6 linked regions of the Macaca fascicularis genome follow. The protein of the gene in region 2 interacts with the protein of the main gene of each other region in a biochemical or structural test. Links are inferred from orthologs where the notes say so. Each region holds a gene or a part of one and is shown on either strand. Other genes may lie near its edges. The genes, in order: SEC31A, KLHL12, FBXL17, LNPK, DRD4 and PDCD6.

The links.
Region 1: of the proteins of KLHL12 (region 2) and SEC31A, one has a biochemical effect on the other in vitro, tested with the Homo sapiens proteins (3 studies listed by BioGRID, with this or other methods). The link is inferred for Macaca fascicularis from reciprocal best matches to the Homo sapiens genes KLHL12 and SEC31A.
Region 3: the proteins of KLHL12 (region 2) and FBXL17 form a complex in vitro, tested with the Homo sapiens proteins (3 studies listed by BioGRID, with this or other methods). The link is inferred for Macaca fascicularis from reciprocal best matches to the Homo sapiens genes KLHL12 and FBXL17.
Region 4: the proteins of KLHL12 (region 2) and LNPK form a complex in vitro, tested with the Homo sapiens proteins (2 studies listed by BioGRID, with this or other methods). The link is inferred for Macaca fascicularis from reciprocal best matches to the Homo sapiens genes KLHL12 and LNPK.
Region 5: of the proteins of KLHL12 (region 2) and DRD4, one has a biochemical effect on the other in vitro, tested with the Homo sapiens proteins (2 studies listed by BioGRID, with this or other methods). The link is inferred for Macaca fascicularis from reciprocal best matches to the Homo sapiens genes KLHL12 and DRD4.
Region 6: the proteins of KLHL12 (region 2) and PDCD6 form a complex in vitro, tested with the Homo sapiens proteins (2 studies listed by BioGRID). The link is inferred for Macaca fascicularis from reciprocal best matches to the Homo sapiens genes KLHL12 and PDCD6.

The regions. Positions count from the first base shown.
Region 1 is NC_088379.1:50,950,805-50,955,065, forward strand, and holds the start of SEC31A (protein transport protein Sec31A), read left to right. Parts: upstream 1-1,461; 5' UTR 1,462-1,894; intron 1,895-4,261. UniProt on the Homo sapiens protein: Component of the coat protein complex II (COPII) which promotes the formation of transport vesicles from the endoplasmic reticulum (ER).
Region 2 is NC_088375.1:60,647,369-60,650,868, forward strand, and holds part of KLHL12 (kelch-like protein 12), read right to left. Parts: intron 1,682-3,500; coding exon 1,575-1,681; intron 353-1,574; coding exon 157-352; intron 1-156. UniProt on the Homo sapiens protein: Substrate-specific adapter of a BCR (BTB-CUL3-RBX1) E3 ubiquitin ligase complex that acts as a negative regulator of Wnt signaling pathway and ER-Golgi transport.
Region 3 is NC_088380.1:114,361,844-114,365,343, forward strand, and holds part of FBXL17 (F-box/LRR-repeat protein 17), read right to left. Parts: intron 1,286-3,500; coding exon 1,143-1,285; intron 1-1,142. UniProt on the Homo sapiens protein: Substrate-recognition component of the SCF(FBXL17) E3 ubiquitin ligase complex, a key component of a quality control pathway required to ensure functional dimerization of BTB domain-containing proteins (dimerization quality control, DQC).
Region 4 is NC_088386.1:71,543,903-71,547,402, forward strand, and holds part of LNPK (endoplasmic reticulum junction formation protein lunapark), read right to left. Parts: intron 1,271-3,500; coding exon 1,229-1,270; intron 471-1,228; coding exon 283-470; intron 1-282. UniProt on the Homo sapiens protein: Endoplasmic reticulum (ER)-shaping membrane protein that plays a role in determining ER morphology. Involved in the stabilization of nascent three-way ER tubular junctions within the ER network.
Region 5 is NC_088388.1:539,075-543,036, reverse strand, and holds the start of DRD4 (D(4) dopamine receptor), read right to left. Parts: upstream 2,801-3,962; 5' UTR 2,737-2,800; coding exon 2,464-2,736; intron 240-2,463; coding exon 127-239; intron 19-126; coding exon 1-18. UniProt on the Homo sapiens protein: Dopamine receptor responsible for neuronal signaling in the mesolimbic system of the brain, an area of the brain that regulates emotion and complex behavior.
Region 6 is NC_088380.1:589,667-593,831, reverse strand, and holds the start of PDCD6 (programmed cell death protein 6), read right to left. Parts: upstream 2,801-4,165; 5' UTR 2,726-2,800; coding exon 2,625-2,725; intron 1,693-2,624; coding exon 1,631-1,692; intron 1-1,630. UniProt on the Homo sapiens protein: Calcium sensor that plays a key role in processes such as endoplasmic reticulum (ER)-Golgi vesicular transport, endosomal biogenesis or membrane repair.

The sequences.
Region 1 (4,261 bases), on a different chromosome or scaffold from region 2:
GGCCAGTTACGTTCTTTCAAAGTTTGTTGGTGATTTGTTACTGATCCATCAGTTCATGCACAGATAGCAAAGCACAAAGTGCATAGTAGTGTTGCCTCCGTGGCCCCAGAGATTAAAACTTGTGACCATTTACAGAAATGGATAATCAAAATAGGTAATTGGTCAACAAAGGACAGGGCAGCAAAGAAAAGTGATAACGCTGGAAGTGAAATTGGATGTGATTAGAAGATTTGAAAGTGGTGACAGCAAAGCAAAGATAGGTTGAGACCCAGACCTGCATGAAGCTGTAATACAGGCCTATTGAAAAAGTATGATAAATGTAAAAAGGTAAACTTGCTTCAACGTCTTTCAGTTTTAATTGCACTAGGAACAGAAAGCTGCTTGCGGTTGAAATGGAGCATTTACTTGTTTGAAGACTAATCAAAAACAAATCCCAATCAGTTTGACTAGCATTCAGGCCAAAGTGATAACCTTAGTTACTGCGTTGAAAGAAAATATATTACTACCAGTAAAAGCTGGGTTCATTATTTCAGAAGTTGGCGTGATAATGTTAAGCTATCTTAGGAAGCTGCAAGCTTCAGATGGAATGTTACAGAAGATGTAGCTGACTGGGAATGTTGACACTGCTGCTGTTCAAGAGGCAGGATCTTGCTTTAGCCACCCAAAGTGCAAGAGTTGGCTTTGAATGCTAGGTGTAATGAGAAAAGAACTTGTCTAGAAGTTAGGAGACCTGGGTTGAATCCAGTTTCTGGTAGTTTAGCAAGTGATTTTCCTTTGGCTTTACCTCGCTGTAAAATAATTCCTCCCTAAACTAAAAGTACACCCAGGCAACGCATCTAATTAGATTTGAAGCTCTGGGGAAACTAGTAACAGCGGAAGGCGAGTGCTACGGGGTCTCAATACCATGGGATAGTAACAAGTATGAAAGGGTACTAATTGATAACACCGTAACACCCCATCTATGCCTCTCTGTCCACAATAGCCTTTGGGTATGCCCAGATAGTTTCGCTTTGTGTAAGTTCTCAAAATGCCAGAATGTGTAATCAAGTGGGTAATTTTAAGAACTCAGTCACAAATTACAATAAAGCTCTTGCAGCCCAATTTTCCACGTGGTTTGGCTTGGGCAGTGTCGCCAGGGGCTGCAGACACCTCACAGGACTAGTGCTACGTGGCGTTCCTGCGGACCACAGCGGTTATTCGGCCGGACGGAGACACCCTCTGCACTACTCCTTTACCTGCTAGTCCTGGCTGCCGCATCCATATTCTGCGCGCCGCCCCTCAGAAAAGGGTTTCTACATTCGCGCGGGCGCGATGACCGCAGAGCGCGCCCAACCCGCAGAGCCATACCCTGCACCCCAGCCTACCGCCGGTCCCGGAAGTGCCGTGGCGGGCCGTGCGTCGGGGTGGGCGGGGAGAAATGTCGCTCCCGGAAGTGTTGGGCGGCAGGGCGTGGCTGCGGCTGCGGCTGCCACGTTGGAACGGAACGTGGAGGTGGCCCTGGCCCGGGAGGAGGGGCGGCGGCGAATGCTGGGAGACTCCGACGGGCGCTGCACTAACGCAGGATCCGGCTGCTCAAGGTCCTTGCCAGGTGTGTCCACCCGTTGCTTTTTGTCCTCTTCGCCGGTCCTTAAGCCTTGAGGTAAAGCCCAGGCCAAAACTGGGACCGCAGCCTGGGTCTCCGCTGCCCCGCGCCAGCCTGAGGCCCGGTCTCTGGTGACGGCGCGCCCCCAGTCTTGGTTTCGGGCCCGGCGGAACAACGCCTGGCGTCTGGACTCCTTCAGTGATCGCGCCCGTCCGCATCCGCCGACGTCTCCACTGCTGAGCAAAAGCCACCCGAGGCTGGCGACGGTGTCTTGCCGGGGAGTCGTAGCCGGGCTGGTAACTGGAGTTTGAGGTTAGGAGACTTTCAGACCCTTGTGCACAAAGAGGTGCGGTCCCCGAGGGTGAGGAAAGGAAAAAAATCTAAGGATTACTTTGGTTGACTTTAGTTTGGTTAGGATTTGTTTGTTTGTACTTGAACTGTTGCCAGATTTATAGTTAAAGGTTCATAGGTTTGAACTGACGTCTACTGTCATTTAACTAGGATTGGATTATTTTAAGGACAGTGGTAGCCAGGAGCAGCCTGTACTTTGAGGGCAGTCTCATTAAGTGTTACATGTTTTTGCTAATAAGTTGTTAAATTACGGGGCTGTTGTAAAATAAACCAAAATATTGCCTGGACTTGTGGGCATTATAAAATTTTCCTTGCGCTTAAGGAACTAATTTTACGTAGGGCCTTTTGAAGTTGCAATGATCTGATAGTCTGTGACAAATCCTTTCTCCTATTTTTTTCTAACTATAGAAAACTGAAATTTGGTTGTCTTTGTGGGCAGTTATAACTGTATTTAATCAGTAAAGCTGTGTTCTTGTTATAGCGTCTAGCGTTTTCTGTACCTCCGATTATTCAAGGGTTGGCAAAAGCTTACTCTCCTTTTTTGTTTTTGTTTTGTTTTTTTGTTTGTTTGTTTTTGTTTTTTTTGTTTTTTGAGACGGAGTCTCGCTCTGTCACCCAGGCTGGAGTGCTGTGGCGCGATCTCAGCTCACTGCAACCTCCGTCTCCCGGGTTCAAGTGATTCTCCTGCCTCAGCCTCCTGAGTAGCTAGCTGGTATTACAGGCGCCCGCCACCACGCCCGTCCAGTTTTTGTGTTTTTAGTAGAGACTGGGTTTCACCATGTTGGTCAGGCTGATCTCGCACTCCTGACCTCAAGTGATCCGCCCGCATTGGCCTCCCAAAGTGCTGGGATTACAGGCATGAGCCACCACGCCCAGCCTACTCTCCTTTAGTGGTTCTTCTGTGCTTCTTGTTTCTCAGTATTCCTTAATTACAGCTCAGGGAGAGGTTTGTAGACTCCAAGAACTTTTGGATAACTCGTGGTGTTTCTGTAGTTTTGTAGTGATTTTATCTTACATACGTCCACGGTTATTTGTGAAACTTGAAATTTAAGGTAGATTTAGAATAATATTGCTTAATTTTATATAGGCAAATTATTTATTGAAACTAATAACGTGGGAATAGAAATAAATTTGTAAACTGTGAAGAGCAATGATTCACAATTTTGGGGGGATTTCACTGTCTTATGGGAATCTAATGAAAGCATTGGAAGAATGCACATATACACACGTAGGATTTTCTTTTTTTTTATTTTACTTTTTTTTTTTGAGACAGAGTCACTCTTTGTTGCCCAGATTGGAGTGCAGTGGTGCAGTCATAGCTCACTATAACCTTGAACTCTTGGACTCAAGAGATCCTCCCTCCTCAGCCTCAGAAGTAGCTAGGAATATGCACGTGGCGCACGCCCAGTTAATCTCTTATTTTTTATAGGGATGGGGGTCTCACTACGTTCCCCAGGCTGGACTCAAGCTCCTGCTCTCAAGTGACGTGTAGGATTTTCTGTGTACATAATATTATGAAGTTTACAAGTTAAAAACTCCTGTAAAGGGATATTACTAGATTGATTTACATTGATTACATTGTTTTTAGAAATGTCATTAGGTTAATTTCAGCTCAAAAAGTTTTATTATACCTAAGATTAATATGACACCAATTAGTTCAGTAACCAGTGCACAGTTACTTTCTCCTTTGACTTGGTTTGGGTTGAGTGAAATGAACCTAGGACATTGAAAATAATCAATCCTCTGAACAATTGTTTCTATCCATATTGAGATATTTTGCCCACAGAAAATGGATTTTTACTAAAAGCAATGCCAACTAGGGATTGTATACCTGGTTTGGGAATCAAAGTTCCAATTCTATTACCTCTTTAACTTTTTATTTGCTTTCTGAGGTATGGGTCAGCTCTATATAGCATTGTAAGGTTGGTACTTTTCAACATTTTCAACAATTTTAGTATTGCTAAATACTTAGCAACAATTTTAGTTACTTTTTTTTTTTGAAAAGTTACTTACTTTTCAACAATTTTAGTATTGCTAAATACTTTTAGTATTTAGCAATACTAAAACCCAAGTGCTGTTGGGTTTTAGTATTGCTTCAGAAAATTTACATTTTGAAAATGAGCAGAAAGAAAAAAGTTTCCACCTAATCGAATGCAATTATCGAGAGAAAGTTGCATGAAAAATAAGAGTTCTAGTCTGGAATATAAATATTCCTCAATAAATCTTTTTTTTTTTTCTGAGACAGAGTCTTGCTCTGTCTCCCAGGCTGTAGTGCAATGGCATGATCTCGGCTCACTGTAAACTCCGCCTCCTGGGTTCAAGCGATTC
Region 2 (3,500 bases):
CCTGGGCAACAAAGAGAGACCCTATCTCAAATAATAGTAACATTTGACCTTAATTTTTTCTCCATATTTCATGCTCCTGCCAGACAACAGGAGAGGTTAAAAACCCTGGTCCAGCCACAGTAAGATGGAAATAATTGCCCTGCACATCCAGCCTACCTCCCAGGGTGGTGGCTCCAGCAAGACCTCGTCGGACATTCATAGGGGCCACAGAATACCAGACCCCATCCTCATCTGCTGTGTAGTCTAGACATTCCACTGAACTAAGGCGGGAACGGCCATCATAGCCACCAATGACGTAGATCCGGTCATGTAGGGACACTGAGGCCACATAACGTCTCTTACGAGTGATGCTCTATGGATTTGGAGAGAAGAGGTACAGAGCATTTCAGTTAGGCAAGTTTTAGGCCTTACCTTTTGCCATCTTCCCTGTTGCATCTGCACACCTCTATGCTTCTTCACCTGTTATCATGAACCCTCCCTGAGTGGTTCATCCTCAAGTGGCTCCCAAATAGCTATCTACTGAACGAAATGCTTGTGGTGCTCTTAAAGATACAAGCTTTCTGCACATCTGCCTCTTTCCAAGGCTTCCAAAAGATTTAACAGTCTTCTGTTATCTAGTATCTGACTCCTTTCTTTTCCATAAGGCACTGGGCTAAGAGACTGATATCCTTCCATAAAGTGGAAAAGTATTCCCACACTGCTAATCAAAGGGCCAGGATTTATTACAAGAACCTTAAAAGGTAGAAGGGTTGGATTTCCATGTTTTCTTAGAAAGTACTATTGTTCATTCAGCACTGAAAGAGACATGCTGAGGAAGACAGATACAAACTTTTTTTTTTTTTTTCCTGAGTTGGGATCTCACTGTCACCAAGGCTGGACTGCAGTGGCACAATCACAGCTCACTGCAACCTCGAACTCCTGGGCTCAAGCAATCCTCTGCCACAGCCTCCCAAGTAGCTAAGGACTACAGGCATGCACCACCATGCCTGGCTAATTTTTTTGTTTACTTTTTTGTAGAGACAGAGTCTCACCATATTGCCCAGGCTGGTCTTGAACTCCTGGCCTCAAGGGATCCTCCCATCTCAGCTTCCCAAAGGGCTGGGATTACAGGTGTGAGCTACCATGCCCAGCCCAAACTTAGCTCAACTGAACACTAGGTTCAATTACACACAATTTAACATTCAGTTCAGTTTAACACAGCATGACCAATGAAATGTGCTGGGAATTATACAGACAGCTTGGCAAGGCACCTAACTAGTGGTGGCCATCTGAGTTTACCTTGACACAGGGCCACTGACATTACTAAGGCATAATCTTCTAATCTAAACAGTCAAAAACTGTTTAGTGAGTACCTACTATGTGCACAAGACTGCTGTAAGAAACATGATCCTGTTATTAGGCTTTTCTACTCTTAAGGCTGGATTAGCTACGATCTGGAGCCAGAGACTAAGGACATTTAAGCTCCCTCCCAACGAATAGCTTTTCTACTCCTAAGGCTGGATTAGCTATGATCTGGACCCAGAGACTGAGGACATTTAAGCTCCCTCCCAACGAATGGTTTCACCATTATTTACTGGCAAAAAGCTCCACTCCTGAGTCTTGGGGTCGTATTTCTCTACCACGTCGATGGGAGACTGCTGGCTTCCGAAGCCCCCAACCACCAAAAGCACTTCATTGGCTCCTGAAGACAAAGGCAGAAAAAAGATGGGTTAGTTCAGCATCCCTGGATGGGTAACTAGTCACAGGGAAGTGTCAACAGAAACAGTTCTAGGATGTCTTGTTTTATGTGACTGAGGGATGCAATCTGAAATGGGAGATAATCATAAGGCTGTCGAATGGGGAGTTATTTCTCCTTGAGGCTGTAGCTCTCAAGTCTCTGAAACTTAAATTTCTGGACAACATTAAAACTCTAGAAAGCAAACTTCAACATGACACTGCACCATTTCTTTTTTTTTTTTTTTTTTTTGGAGACAGAGTTTCACTCTTGTTGCCCAAGCTGGAGTGCAATGGCACAATCTCGGCTCACCACAACCTCCACCTCCTGGGCTCAAGTGATTCTCCTGCCTCAGCCTCCCAAGTAGCTGGGATTACAGGCATATGCCACCATGCCTGGCTAATTTTGTATTTTTAGCAGAGATGGGGTTTCTCCACGTTGGTCAGGCTGGTCCTGAACTCCCGACCTCAGGTGATCTGCCAGCCTCAACCTCCCAAAGTGCTGGGATTACAGGCGTGAGCCACCGTGCCCGGCAACACTGCACCATTTCAACCTATTGAGATGACTGGCTGACATAATACTTGAGGTCTTAAGTGCAGGTGAGAGGCTAAAGGCACTCTCTGCACTTCTCAGCCTGAAAAAACCCAAATTGGGAGGGTTTTTTTGTTGTAATAGGGAAAGAACTCTCCTAACCTTGTCACAAAAAAAAGCTGCATGTTGAAACTTAGGATCCAAGTGATGGATTTAAAGTCTCTTTTTCTGAATTGAGAAAGGGTCTCGCTATATTGCCCAGGCTGATCTCAAACTCCTAGCCTAAAGTGATTCTCCTGCCTCAGCCTCCCAAAGTGCTGGGATTACAGGAATGAGCCACTGTGCCTGGCCTAAAATCTCTTTTTCATGAACATTTCCTTCTCCAATGTAGTCAACTATATGATCATATTCCCTGCCAATTCATCAAAACCACAAGGCAACAAAAGACTAGAGTTTTAAAGGAAAAGTCTTTTTCTCTATTTTCCCAAAGAAGCTATTCTGACAGCCTTTATATCTTCCCCTTCCCCTAAGGCCTTACTCTGATAAAATACTTCCTACCCTGGCTCTTGGAGACAGGGTCTTGCTATATTGCCCAGGCTGGTCTCAAACTCCTGGCCTCAAGCGATATTTCTGCCTTGGCCTACCAAGTAGCTGGGGTTACAGGTATGAGCCACAGCACCTGGCTTGGCTTTTTTCAAAGAGCAAAGTCTCTTTGAGAAAATCCCCTGTGCATGTGCTCCATTAGAACTCAATTAGAACTCATGGAGAGAACAGTTAGCTGGAGCTTTGGAAAATTCAATCACTAGGAAGCATCTAGGAGACCAAAGTGATCTTACAAGTAACCTGGACTTGAAAGAGCAAATGTAGTACCTTGAAGCTGACAGGAAACACAGATAAACCCCTAATGAAGTAATGGATTTGACAATTATCATCAATTGCTGGGCTAGAATCATTATTTCAAAAGCTAACATATTACTATGAGACATTGTGTGCTTCCTAATGGTGATGAATAGGAAGGACCACACTACCATCTAATGAGTCTTTTTTCTAAAAAATTGAGGCTGACTCTTAACAACCCTCTAGTCCAACCACTAGTTTACAGGCAATACATAGGAGAAGAACATGTTAAATGACACTATAAAGATGCCAACAGCAGAGTCCAGAATGTGGGAAATTCTACAGGTCGAATAGCTTGTTTTCTTCAAGAAATAAATTGATTAGTAAAAACCAAAACAGGATGGAAACACTTTGTATT
Region 3 (3,500 bases), on a different chromosome or scaffold from region 2:
TGCCAGAGTATCCCTGGGCCACTGACTGGTCTTTCTGAGCCTCCATTTTCTCCACTTCACAATGCAAATAACTATTTCTTAGACTTGTTATAGGAAAAACATGGAATAAATAAAGAAGAAAACATCTGTGGAGTGCCTGGTGTCTAGCATAGGTTTTTTTTTTTTTTTTTGGTTTTTTGTTTGTTCGTTTGGGACTCGGTCTTGCTCTGTCACCCAGGCTGGGGTGGTGTGGCGCAATCACGGCTCACTGCAACCTCGGCCTCTTGAGCTCAGGGATCCTCCCACCTTAGCTTCCCTAGTAGCTGGGACTACAGGTGTGTGGCATGATGCCTGGCTAATTTTTTTTTTTTTTTTTTTTTTTTTTTTTGGTAGAGACAGAGTGTTTTGCCTTGTTGCCCAGGCTGGTCTCAAACTCCTGGGCTCAAGTGATCCTTCTGCCTTGGCTTCCCAATATGCTGGGATTACAGGTGTCAGTATAGATTTTTATTATCTGTTTTCTCAGTCTTCAAAGGGTCCCACATTAAATGCTGCACCATTTCCTAAACTCATGCTCACATCGCTGGTCAGCTCCACAGGCCTTCCACCAGGACCTCTGGAATCACTTCTTATCACGTGCTAGGAGTGGCATCTGATGTATGGGGAGATGCAAATTCCCACATACCCCCTCACTGGCCCTTTCTTGTTCCCGAGTGGCCAGAATACATAGATGTTCAGTAGCAAAATTACACACTTGTGAAAAACCAATTTGGCACTGTTCTTTCCACCTTTACTGTTGCTGGAAACTTGAAACACAGAATATAATTTTACGGTTAGACCCTGAAAATTGCAGTTTGTCATGTAACCTTTTAAATTTTGGTCCATGGACTTATAAATAGGATGCCAAACTCTAAGTTGACTCTATATATATGATTACTTTTTCTTTCTGCTTAAGCACAGAATTATTAAGTGGGGAAATGCAAAGATAATCCCAGATTAGTTTACAAAAGCAGGCGAACAATGCATAGCTATAATTGTGTATATATATATAATGTATATATAATATAGAATATATGGGGGTGGGGATAGAGAAGGAGAGGATACGACATCAAGCTATTAACTATACTGATATGTAGAAAGCAAACAACTTGATAGTCAACTCTTACTTTATCACATCTCATCAGCCCCAAATATCTCAGAGACTTGCTGCTCTGTGCAATCAGGGTGGCTCCTTGGTCTGTAATTTCCTTACACCATCCAACATCCACAGTCTCTATTGTCATGCTGTACCGCCCAATGGCTATCAGTGCTGCAAGAAGGGACAGAGAGAAAGCATTAACGTTAGCAGTGTAAGGGAGCTCTATCTTACTATGACTATTCATCTCATTTCCTCACTAAATTTGTTCCTGAAATTTTGTGTGTAAATGAATGTTTTATAAACTAAATTAAATTTGAAATGCTTTACGAAAGCTTCCCTATGACAAATCCTTTTGCAAAGTGAATAATCATTCCATAATTTCCCTTTCATTGGACACAACCTTTTATCAGTTTTATTCATTACAAGGTTACCTGTGCTTTCAAACATGCAGCTCTGCAGAAGGAATACAATAAAATGAATTACAGATACAACGTTTAAGAAAACCCAAGTAATAATTTTACCCAAGATAACTTTAATTTTTTTTTTCAAGAAAAACCCATGTAAACACCGTTTTGAGGAGTGTTATACTGCATGTGAATGTCTTTACCAATTGGCATAATTTTTTCCATCTGCTCATGACCTATAAAATGTAAAAGTATAAAATATTTTTCACATTAGTACTTCTTGGGACTGTTAGGAATTAAGAGTACATCATACATACAGCTGATTTTAACTGGTGCCATGCTAGAGTTCAGTAAAGGGAATGCATTTGTTATGGTGAATTTCCTCATCCTATCAGAAGTCTTCCTTCTATTAACATATAAAATGAAGCCTGTCATCTGTAAACCATGAGAGTATCTGTAGTCTTCTTAGCTGTTTAGCATTGTACCACCACTAAAGTGCAGACTCTTATCCCACAATCTATGACGTGCACTACTAGTCACTGCAAAGCCCCACAGCCCATTACCCCATCAGAGTGACCAGTTGGTGAATGTGGCTCTTTTCTACCGACTTTGATAGATGTGCCCACCTCTATATTTATGGAGCAGAAAAACAAATTTCAATACTCCAGCACCAGTTTATGGTGCATTGGTTTGTGAATGAAAACCCTGAAAACAGTGCCACAAATATCAAAAAGAAAAGAGAAATGGTTTTCTGATAATTTCCTCCTTCTAAGATAGCATAAGTTGATTTCTGTGACAATAAAGGTGAATGATAGTTCCCAAAATGTGTTGACTAGATGGATAGAGTTAAGTACTCATGTTAACAAATGTTTACTCCTACAGCTCACAGAAGAGAATATTTGGAAAAGTCTTTCTTTGCTAATTACCTCAGTTTTTTTTTTTTTTTTTTTTTTTTTTTTTTTTTTTACTAGAAAACTCATGTCTGTACATTCCAGTAGGAAAGCACTCAAAGGAGCCAGATATTTAATGTTTATACAAACAGCAATCATGACCCCAGTATTTTCCAGTGAAAATACAATAGAGAGAATTTTTTTTTAAAGTTCTTTATGTACCAGTTTGTTAATGTTTTCATCTTTGTGCATGCTGTTTTGATATTTAAAGTTTTCCAAGGGATTTGGGGATTTGCCAACTACTAAAAGTTTGCAGAAATGGTCTGAATACTATCTTTGTGTAGAAGGAGCAACATCCCAGGTTAATTTTGGTGTCTCTGACCTAAGAAAATTGTTCTCTCTGGTACCATCATAACTTTCATTGCTTATGATATCCTGAAGATCTGCTAAGAAAAATGAAGTAGGGGATACATAAAATAAATCCCTTTTAATACAAAGTGCTCAAACTATAATTTCCAAAGATGACAAAGCACCACTTGCAGGATGGCCTGGGGTTGGTAGATTTTGTGAAGTTGTTTCATTGAGGTCTGAGGCTAGAACACGAAAGCCCTGTACTATCCAGAAAAGCCCTGACTGTTACAGCCTGCTTTATAAGCAGATAAAGCGTCAATAGCTATTGATTCTGGGTGGTAAAATTACTGATGTTTGGAGGCTTTTCTTCTGACTTAGCACTATTTACTGAAGTTAGAATGAAACTTTATTATTTCTTTTTTTTTTTTTTTTTTTGAGAGGGAGTCTCGCTCTGTTGCCCAGGCTGGAGTGCAGTGGCTGGATCTCGGCTCACTGCAAGCTCCGCCTCCCAGGTTCACGCCATTCTCCTGCCTCAGCCTCGCGAGTAGCTGGTACTACAGGCGCCCGCCACCGCGCCCGGCTAGTTTTTTGTATTTTTTAGTAGAGACGGGGTTTCACTGTGTTAGCCAGGATGAGAAACTTTATTATTTCTTAACTCATTCAATTATTTAATAACCACTTCATGAGCTCTAGAGCATTTTTGCCAACATTTATTGACTACACTCCATGTGCCAGGCCCTT
Region 4 (3,500 bases), on a different chromosome or scaffold from region 2:
AGGGGAGCATGGTCATCTACTAGAAAATCATAAAACATTGCCATATAGAGCAATTATTACTCATATTACTAGGTAATACTCCTCAGGTATATTGGATTACAAATGAAGGTTTAAAACAATTGTTCTACTATTTTTAAAAAATCTTTTCAAATTGTGAAAGAAATTCAAACTCAATCAGATATTACCATTTAATAATAAAGAGACTGAATATATATACTAGATATACATTAAGACTCTCTAGTCAGAAAAGGAAAAGATCAACAAAAAGAATAATTTACTTACATCAATGGAAAAGCAAAAAATGGGAGTGTCATGGCAAGTCTTGCTGTAAATTCATCAGGAAGATACCACAAATATACAATTAAGCATGTAAACAGATAGAGAACTGAGGAATACAGAATTAATCTTCCAACCCATAATTTTTGTAATCTCTGATTTTTTTCCCTAAATTCTTCCAATGCTTGAATTTCCTGTTAAGAGAAAATTATTCCGTTAGTAAATTTCAAACTTCATAAAGAAATTAAAATGTTAAAAAATGTTAACAGGAAAGATATTTAAGAAAAAACTCTTATTTAAAGTTCAATAAAGCATAATACCCTAACCGTTTAAAACAGAACATAATATGTAAAAGAAAACTAAAACTGAGGTTAAAAATTTATAATGCTTATTCTAACAAAGCAATTTTACAATGCAAAATTAAGTACTATTTTTAAACTATCAAATTGGCAAAGATTCAGGGAATGAAATTGGTATCAGCAATAATATTTGTTGAGTCAAATAAGTAATAATTCCTCCTATAAAAGGCATTTTAAAAATCTGGCAATAAGAAAAAGAATTAATAAAAATTAAAACCGTAACCCATCTATTTATCACTCTCCATATTCCCAGAAAATCATTTTTTATACTATATAAAAAGCTGTGAAAATTTTGTAGACTGATAAAAACTATTATACAGTATCTCATCTATTTTGTCCTACCTGTAACATTTATTTACACCACACTATAGATCTAATTTCATTCTAACTGGCTCTATTACTTGAAACAGACTTCTTAAGTCACTGATAGACTTTAGATTTTTTTGAGGTCACATAACATTAAAGTTCTCAGACTCACTCTATATCATTTCTCAATTCCCATACCAGATTTGGTCTTCAAAATAATATATACTACAATAATATTTATTTAATACCTAAAATGAATTAAAATACCTTACAGCCAAAGAACATACCTTATCTATACTTTCTAGAACTTCTACAGTTGAAGGTTTTGTCTGTTACAGAAACAGAAACAAGAGACAGCATTAAAACGTATCACAAACTTTTATGTTTTGATATAATCATTAAAGAACATTTATTTCAAAATTGAATTTTCTCAAATGTTATCAGGCAAATATGTATTCTTGTTTATAACTAAGATTTACTTAAATAAAAATTATAATTGCAAACAGAACTACGTAAGAGTAAAGAAATAAGCATTTCCCTACTTAACTTTTTTTAATCCTAGAAAGACTTTGAATTCTGATGGCTCAATTTTTACCATTCTTAACCTCAATAAAACACACTGTTATAGAAAGAAACAAATTTTGGCCAGGTACGGTGGCTCGCGCCTGCACTTTGGGAGGCCAAGGTGAGCGGATCACTTAGGGTCAGGAGTTTGAGACCAACCTGGTCAACATGGTGAAACACCATCTCTACTAAAAATCCAAAAATTAGCTGGGCGTGGTGGCATGCGCTTGTAATCCCAGCTACTCAGGAGGCTCAGGCACGAGATTTGCTTGAACCCGGGAGCCAGACATTGCAGTGAGCTGAGATCGCACCACTGCACTCTAGCCTGGGTGACAGAGAAAGACTGCATCTCAAAAAAATTTTTTAATTAAATTAAAAAATTAAAATACTGCACATTTTCCTCCAAAAAAATTTCTTAGGAATGATTACTCAAAAGAATTAACACATTAAAAAAATTTACAGACTAAAAATAGTCTGATTGGCTATTGCTAAAAGTTCACTTAAGACTCTGGAGGTCAAAATCAACAGGTTATCTTCATTCTAAATTCCTAAAGTACTTTTTGAAGATCAGATTTTAAAAGGACATCTAAGAATACTTCATTATAGCAAAGCTTGTTTGCCAAAGGTATTTTTTATACATCTAGAATAAAAATCAGCCAAAATCACTCATAAAACACTTGAAAAAATATTTACCAATTACATACTCAACAATCCAAGAGGGTAATGAATATCAGGTCATTGTAGTTCCCATAAGAGTTGTTAACATTAGAGTTAACCATATGAAATTGACATTTTGCTAAGCCCAAGCAGTTGAATACTGGCAATTTCATATGGTTCAACCTAATATGAAAGACAAAGCAAGAAGAGATAAATTTGATCCTTGGGCAGATTATTAAAAGGTCATAACAGGGTCAATATAATGCTGATCCAAAACAAGGCTGTTCCAGCAACAGCCCAAAACCTAAGTTATGTACCAAGTATAGTTAGACTCTATTATTATGGTAGTAAGGAGAAAAAAACAATAAGTAGTTTATCCTAGACTACCTTATCTCCTCTTACATTTGAAAAAAGCATTTATATAATTTTTTTTTCTTTTATTTGAGACAGAGTCTAGCTCTGTCGCCCAGGCTGGAGTGCAGTGGCAAAATCTCGGCTCACTGCAACCTTCATCTTCTGGGTTCAAGCGATCCTGCCTCAGCCTCCCGAGTAGCTGGGATTACAGGCGCCCACGACCACGCCCAGCTAATTTCTGTATTTTTAGTAGAGACGGGGTTATATAATTTATACAATTCATATTTTCGAGCTGTAACTTTGAGATACTTCCTCTAAAAGCTTATCCAATAAAATCAAACTGAATTTCTAATTTTGTTTAACCTATAAATTCTAAAAGCACATGCAGTGTGACTTTAGTCAATATTTATGATAAGCTTCAAGTAAAAAGATACAGTGTGTAAGAAACAAATATTGTATAGAATACTTTCTTTCTTTTTTTTGAGACAGAGTCTTGCTCTGTCACCCAGGCTGCAGTGCAGTGGCACGATCTCGATTCACTGCAACCTCTGCCTCCTGGGTTCATTCTCCTGCCTCAGCCTCCCGAGTAGCTAAGATTATAGGTTCACACCACTACGCTGAGCTAATTTTTGCATTTTTAGTGGAGACAGGGTTTCACCATGTTGGCCAGGCTGGTCTCAAACTCCTGAACTCATGATCTGCCCACCTCGGCCTCCCAAAGTGTTGGGATTACAGGCGTGAGCCACCGCACCCGGCCTAGAGTACTTATTTTCAACTACCTTTCAAATAAGCTTGAAATTTAGGAAGTATAAGAAAACAAGATAGCCATTTGCACACAAATACAGAAATACAGAAATAAAAATAATTCATACATCCAAATGAAATAATTCTGTTACACAGAGGCATTGGACACCTACAGAACAAGTGGAAGTATCAAAATAAAAAATAGAAAAGTAATTCAAAAGAGAAGAAAAAAGTTAAGGA
Region 5 (3,962 bases), on a different chromosome or scaffold from region 2:
ACGGCCACGGCCACGAACCTGCGGGGAGCGCCGAGGGTGCGCGGGACAGCGCGGAGGCCGCGGTGAGGGCGGCGGCGGCGGGAGGGGCGCGAGGGCGCGGGGGCGCGGGCGGGGAGGGCGGCGCACCTGTCCACGCTGATGGCGCACAGGTTGAAGATAGAGGCGGTGCACAGCATGACGTCCATGGCCATGAGGGCGTCGCACAGGCGGGGGCTCAGCAGCCACGCGCCACCCTGGACCTGCGCGGCGACACCACAGGCCCTGAGGTTTCCCAGCCACCGCGGGCCCTTGTGACCCCCTCTCTTATGGGTAGTTCCAGGGCTGAATATGGAGGAGGGGGCCCGCTGTGAACCAGAGGCCAGAGGAGCAGGCAGAGAAACAACCCCTCTGCACTCAGGTCTCCCTTTGTTTTCAGTTAGGGTCTCGCTCTGTCACCCAGGCTGGAGTGCGGTGGCTCCATCATGGCTCACCGTAGCCTGGAACTCCTGGGCTCAAGCGATCCTCCCACCTCAGTCTCCAGAGTAGCTGGGACTACAGCCGCGCGCCACCACCCCCCAACTGATTTATTTATTTTTTATTTTTGTTTTTCTTTTTGTTTGTTTTTTTGAGACGGAGTTGCACTCTTGTTGCCCAGGCTGGAGTGCAGTGATGCGATCTCAGCTCACTGCAACCTCCGCCTCCCGGGTTTAAGCGATACTCCTGCCTCAGTTCCCCCGAATAGCTGGGACAGCAGCCGCATGCCACCATCCCAGGCTGATATTTTCATTTTTTTTTTTTTTTTTTTCTGAGAGGGAGTCTCGCTCAGTGGCGCAGGCTGGAGTGCCCTGGGACGATCTCGGCTCACTGCAAGCTCCGCCTCCTGGGTTCCCGCCATTCTCCTGCCTCAGCCTCCCAAGTAGCTGGGACTACAGGCGCCCGCCGCCACACCCGGCTAATTTTTTGCATTTTTAGTAGAGACGGGGTTTCGCTGTGTCAACCAGGATGGTCTCGATCTCCTGACCTCGTGGTCCGCCCTCCTCGGCCTCCCAAAGTGCTGGGATTACAGGCGTGAGCCACCGCGCCCGGCCGATATTTTAATTTTTTGTAGAGACCCGGCCCGGTATGTTTCCCAGGCTGGTCTCAAACTCCTGGGTTCAAGCGATCCTCCTGCCTTGGCCTCCCAAAGTTCTGGGATTACAGGTGTGAGCCACCACTCCTGACCTTGGTCTCCCTTTTGTTACAAACATGAGAACGGGCCTGGGGAATTCCCTGGGGGCGGGGCCTGATGTCATCGGGCTCAAGGAGAGCCCCTCCCCAGCCTGGGGTAGGCAGGGTCCCCGCTGGGCCTAGACATGAAGCTGGCTGCTCTGTCCTTCAGGGCATGAGCCAGCCTGTCTGGTGAAGCTCTCTGTGGGAGACTCGGGCGCATTAATTCATTTGTTTCCTCATCTGTAAGACGAGGATGATGATAGTATCCACATAATTGTCTTGAAGATAAATTATAATTAAAAATATGAAGACCTGCCCAGTGCCCAGCGTAGGAGTCCACGTGGAGTGACTCTCTTCAAGGGCAAAGGAGCAGGCAGCCCCCTTAATCCCTTCCCGCCGATTTGGGAAGATTAGGAGCTTAAACGTCGTCACTGTGACGTCTGCGGCTCGAAAGGAGCACAGGTCATGCGTGTCCCGTGCTGCTGGTCTCTGCCCCAGCCGCCAGGACTCACCGTGTCTACCAAGGGGAAACCCCGAGTCCCCCCTCCTCCACAGTCCGGGACACCGCGTCCCCAGCTCAGCCTTAAGCTGCTTTTCTCTGGCTGCAGAGGGGCTGGCACCAAGTCCAACCCATCCGAGGGCCAGATCTGGTGTGGAGTGTGGGATCCATCCCCCAATTCCCCCTCGGGCTTCTCCCCAGGGTTCTCAGCAGGGGCCTGGCCCCCACACACCCTCCCCTGGGTTCTGTCCAGCCCAGGTCTCCCCTGTGAGCTGTGAGCCTCCTGGGGGTGAGCCAGCATCCGCACTGGGTGTGCGTGGTGGTCTGTGGCTGTGGCCATGTGCAGTGCGTGTGTGCAGTGCGTGTGTGTGTGTCCCAGGGCAGCCAGGGGGCCGAGCCCGCATCTGCCTGCCTGTCCAGCTGGTTGCCCTGGGGGTGAAATCCAGCTGCCGGGCGGCGGGAGGGGGCTGGCTTGACAAAGTCGCCTATTTCTGGGGTCCCTAGATCGAAGGACGGGCATCTCCTGGATAGCAGACGCCAAGACAGAAGGGGAAGGGAGGAGAGGAACGGGGGTCGGGGGACAGCGCAGCGGGGGGAAGGACGCGAGGTGGCGGCGGTGGGTGTAGCGCGGAGGGACCAGGCCCAGCGCCCCTGCCGCCGCCCCAGCTGGAGGCTCCGGAGCAGAAAGGGGCCGGGTCGCGCCGGGTCCTCCGCAGGGACAGGGACGGAGAACCGAGGAGCAGATGAAGATGCTCGTGCGGCCAGACGGGGCTCACCTCGGAGTAGACGAAGAGCGGCAGCACCAGGAGAGCGAGGAGGAGGTCGGCGGCCGCCAGGCTCACGATGAAGGAGTTGGTGGGCGTCTGCAGGGCGCGCTCGGTGGCCACGCTCACGCACACGAGCGAGTTCCCCGCGAGCACCGCGCCGATGAGCAGCACGCCTCCAACCAGCGCCGCCGCGCCCGGCCCTGCCAGCCCCGCAGCCGCCCCCGCGCCCGGCCCGCGTCCGGCCAGCAGCCCGTCCGGGTCCGCGGTGCTGCGGTTCCCCATGGCGCGCCGGCCCCAGGCGCCCGGGCGGGCGCTGAGCACCGCGGACAGCGCCGGGCCGCAAACCGGGGAGTCCCTCCCCTTGGGCACGCCCCGGCCAGACTCTGGTCCCGCCCCCGCCCCGCCCCGGCTCAGGGGGGCCCCCGCGGCGCTCCACCGTGCGCCCAGTATTTGCTCATCTTGGAATTTTGCGCAGGGAGAGACGGGCAGGCGGACGAATGCGGCGGCCCAAAGAGACGGGAATGCAGCGAGGTGGTGGCCATGGGCAGGCCCAGCATCGCCTGGTGCGGCGCGGGGTCCGCACCCCGAGAAACCAACAAGGATGGAGGGGCAGCCAGACCAAGCCCTGAAGCGCGCGGGCATCGACGCCAGAGCCATCCTGCCCGGCCCCTGCGTGCGTCCCGGCCCTCGGGCCGTCCACCTAGTCCACCTGGTGTCTGGGAAAACGTCCCTCCCAGGCCCGTTCCGCCAGTCGCGGGAAGACCGGAGCTTAGGCTCTGCCCGCCTCCCGGGGGACTCGCCTCGACCTCGCGCGCACCCTCCTGCCCGCGACTCCGCGCCCGACCCAACCGCCGACGCCTGGCTCGTACCCCCGCTCCCCAGCAGCCTCTGGTCCTCAGCCCCCGCGACCACCACAGTCAGCCGCGGCCCCACCCATTGCACAGTTGGTCCTCCCGTGGCCGCCTCCGATAGTGGGCCGGCACCTCCCCCCGACCCTCCACCCCCGGGCGGACAGCTGAGCGGTCGACCCTGCTCCCTCCTCCAGTCCCTCCGGCCCAAGACCCTGAGCTAGGTAGGCGTCCCTCTGACCCTGGGCAGGGGGTCCGGGGACCGGACAGTAGGTTCAGCCCGCGAGGAGGCAACGAGAAAGACAAGACAGGCCCTGGGAGGTTCCAAACGTGCAGAAGAGAAAGTGCTTGCAAAGTGCAGCAGAGACAGTTCTATGGACTCTTCATCAAATCGGGGTGACCCATGACCTGAGGGGTATTTTCTGTAGTCCTGTCACTAAAGGGGCCTAGAAGGCACTAAAAGGAGGCACCACTCTGTGGGACCCTGGGCGATGCACATCTTGCTCTTGTCTTTGTTTCTGGGAGGACTGGAGTGGAGGGGCCGTGCCAGGAATTGAGGCCCCTGACCTCAAACGTATGGAGGACACGGGCTGGACGAGGTGCTGATGGGGTGTGCATTAAAGGGAGAAACGAGGGCTCTGAGAAGGAGCAGGCACCGTG
Region 6 (4,165 bases), on a different chromosome or scaffold from region 2:
GGTGAGCAAGTTTAACAGAAAACCTAAAACGAAACCTAAAATCTAAAAACCTGAGCAAACGCATAAAAAGCAGGCTGTTAAAATGGATCATAAATCTTGCATCACTCACTGGAAAACCACTCAAAATAAATGTCTCCGCGACATGGCCTCTGGGGAGGGCACTCTGTGTGGCTCGTACCACCCTGGTGACAAACCACTTGAACCTGGGTGGTCATCTGATGACATTTCACAGATGATGCACAGAGCCATCTGCACCCACTGTGGTTAACATTGAGGACGTTTTAAGCTAAGATTTGCCAAATTGTAGCCTACTGGATTCCAGGTTCTCTTGACATCTTTTTCCAGTAGCCATGTCTTGCACTTCCCAAGTATAAAAGAACCGAGATGCAAATTTAAAAAAGGAGGATTTAAGAATAATGAAAAGAGAAAAATCAAGAAAGCACAATCACTAGTGCCGATAATAGAATTTCTGAATTCCCTGAAAACAATCTATATAAATGCATGTGAAATAATACACCAGCATCTGTGGCCCACACGTCACATATCAGGAACTGATGTCAGAATATAAGGTAAACATGTTACTCTGAAAACACAAATCCTCACAAATCATTAGGCAGTAAGGCTGAATGAAGCATCCCCCCAGGCACAGCGCAGTGAGGCAGTGTCCAGCAGCCGTAGTGCTCCCTGTGTCCCAGTCCAGTCTCTGGCAACATCAGGTACTTCCCACTAATAACGAGGAGCCTTTCAACATTTTCACAACATCTCAAAACCGACCCCTTTTCTAGCTTAAATGGCACGGATCTGGAAAGGGAAACTATACACAGAATCGGAAAAGATGACTGCCCCAAAGGGATTACAGAAAAAGCCGCAGTCAGGTGTTCAATGAAGTAAAACGTGATCTTCCCAGGGGAGGGGGGATCAATTGAGCTGAAACTGGCAAGAACTAACTGCAGTGAGCTCACAACACCCAAGGACCCGGATTTCCCGCCGCCTGAACGTCCAGTATTCGCACACTGATAAGAACACCTCCCCATAATTCCCCTGCCAGCGCCTCCAACACCCCCAATCCTTTCCCCAGGAATGCAGTCCCCGTGTTTGCGGCTCCTGTAACAGCCACGTCCCCACACAAGTGCTGCCTGAGCTCCCCAAGCCCTCCAACCACCACCCCCCAATGCCCTCGAAGGTCTATTCAGAGAAGTCACCAAGATGCAGTTACCGAGGAAATTCAAGGACCTCCAACTTACCAAAAGGCTTCCGGCTGTACAGAGCTAAGCTTCCTATTCCCCTCCTAAACCTACAACCTAGTTTTCATTTCTCAAGAAGCCTTTTCTTGTGCTTATGCACGCAGTTGTTAGCCGGCTTGGTGAGGCACTCCAAATAACAGCGGCAGCCACAACAGAAACCAGAAGCATCTCCACCATGAAGCAGTAATAATAGTTTGTCCTAATGATCCCTTTGTCCTTGGAAAATGAACTTCAGAAAGAAAGTTATCCACTGCGAGCAGAGCAGGCTTCTGGGTCCGGACCCAGGTCCCACGGGCCCACTCAGCGGCTTCTGGGTCCGGACCCAGGTCCCACGGGCCCACTCAGCGGCTTCTGGGTCCCGACCCAGGTCCCACGGGCCCACTCACCGTTGGAGAGAGCTTGCTGAAGCTCGGTGTCCGATATCACTCCACTCCTGTCTTTATCAACCCTACAACATCAAGAAGACCAAATAAGCTGGCGATCCAAAGTTCAGGAAAAGCAAAACAAACGTCTCCTGTCAACCCTGCACTGACTCTGGAAGGCTCGGAGCCTCCTGGAACCTCCGCCTCTCCCATCCCGCTGAGGAGGACACGGGAATCAAGGAAGTGCCGCAGGAGCCCACGTCCAAGCGGGGTCTTCCCCTAAGAGGCCAATCATCTTTCTCTCTCAATCCTTCCCTTCCTTCCTCTCCTGGCCTGTCTGAATTCACATTTGCACCAGTTTCCCTTTTTCACAAACAAGATTCCCTCAGATAACTAAGGCATTCCCTGGCCATGAGTCACTACAGTTTCGGTCATTCATTCCGTGGAAAAGCGACCCGGGACAGAAGGCGCCGCCGGAAAGGTCACCTGCCCCGAGCAGACGCCAGGTCGCTGCTGCTTCCTCGGCTGCTGACACTTAACAGCGCCCAGGCAGTCTGTCTCTGCTTTCCCCGAACAAGCACCCCTGGAGACCCTCCGCCCGGCGGCTCCTGAGGCGAGAAAAAGGGCCTAGCCCGGGAGCCGGTGGCCGCGACCTCGGGTCTGCAGCGGCTACTCTGCACCTCTGGAAGGGCCCAACGCACAGGGCAGGGACCGGGCAGGAGGCGGGGGCGGCCGCGGGAGACCCACAGGGGACGGGGGCGGCCGCAAGGGACCCACAGGGGACCGGGGAGACCGCAGGGGACCCGGCAGGGGACGGGCGCGGCCGCAGGGGTCGGGGCAGGGGACGGGGGAGGCCGCGGCGGTCGGGGCAGGGGACCGGGGAGGCCGCGGGGGACCCGACAGGGGACAGAGGAGGCCGCGGGGGAACCGGCAGTGAACCGGGTCCGCGGCGGTGGGGGCAGGAGTCGGGGGCGGCCGCAGCGGAGGCGGGAGGTGCTGGGGCGGTGCCAGGCCGCACCTCTGGAAGACGTTCCACAGAAAGCTCTGGTCCGGCAGCGCCGCGCCCGCAGCAGGCCCTGGGCCGGCCCCGGGGCCGGGGCGGTAGGAGTAGGCGGCCATGGGCCAAGGCGCGCGGCTGGGCTGAGGCGTCTACTGAGACGTGAGACCTCTCAGGGCGACTCCGCTTCCGGCTCTGCCGGGGGCAGGGCCTGGCGTTACCTCCACTTCCGGGGGCGCAGGAAATGCGTAGTCTCCGGGATGGTCACGGGGTCCCGCGCGGCCAATCCCCTCGCAGCTCAGTTACCAAGCAACGCCCTGGCGCCTGCGGGGCCTGTGCGGTCCGGGGCGTCTGGAAAAAGCCAGAGCTCTGGAGCAGGCAGCCGGCTACCGGTGCTGGGAAGGCGCTTGGAGAAAATGTCCGGCTCTGCGACCCGGGACGGGAAGTGATGGAGTAGAGAGTTAGTTAGCCTTTCAGTTCATGTATAAAAAGAAGTTTTGACGTGAATGTGATTCAGGCTAACAGTCGGAAACTCTGGGCGGGGCGCGGTAGCTCACGCCTGTGATCCCTGCGCTTTGGGAGGCGGAGGCGGGCGGAGCTCCTGAGCCCACCAGTTCGGACCAGCCTGGGCAGCGTGGCCAGACTCCATCCCTACAAAAATTGCAGAAAATAGTCGGGCGTGGTGGCGGGCCCCTGTGGTCCCATCTACTCCATGGGCAGAGGCGGGAGGATCGCCTGAGCCCGGGAAGTCGAGGCCGCAGGGAGCCGAGATCACTGCACTCCAGCCCGGTGGACAGCCAGACTCTGCCGAAAAAAAAAAAAAGCAGGCCGTGCGCAGTGTCTGACGCCTGTAATCCCAGGACTTTGGGAGGTCGAGGCCGGTGGATCACCTGAAGTCGGGAGTTCGAGACCAGCCTGACCAATATGGAGAAACCCCGTATCTACTAAATATACAAAATTAGCCGGGGGTGGTGGCGCACGCCTATTCCCAGCTACTCGGGAGGCTGAGGCAGGAGAACTGCTTGAAGCCGGGAGGCGGAGGTTGCAGTGAGCGGAGATCAGGCCGTTGCACTCCAGGCCTGGGCAACAAGAGCGAAACTCCGTCTCAAAAAAAAAAAGGGAAAACGCATTTCGGGTGGGAAGGACAGTGTGCAGCGTTCTCGGTTGTCTGTTCCGCCCGTAAAAGCTTCCCTCCTTTAGGTTTAACCTGCGCCCCCGCGCTCTGCCTCAGCGCCGCCCCCGACGCCGTGCAGCTGGCAACACTGGGCGCCTCCCTGCCGGGTCCCTTCCCGCCCCTTGGTGGTGGTGCAGCCCTGTCTCCCCCGAGACAGCACTGCCTCCATGCTGGACACGGTTCTGCGGTGGAACCTGGAGTGCCTGTAGCACCAATCCCCGGAATTGGGAAGTGCCCAGCTTTGGGCCACTATGATCCCTGGGTCTTTGCCGCCTTCCACCCCAGTCCTGTGTCCTGTGTCCTGTGTCCTGTGCCCTGGTTCAGGATACTACAATTATTCTCATTATTTCGTGGGGTTTTTCCAGCTTTTCAGGTTCTTCAGTGCCTC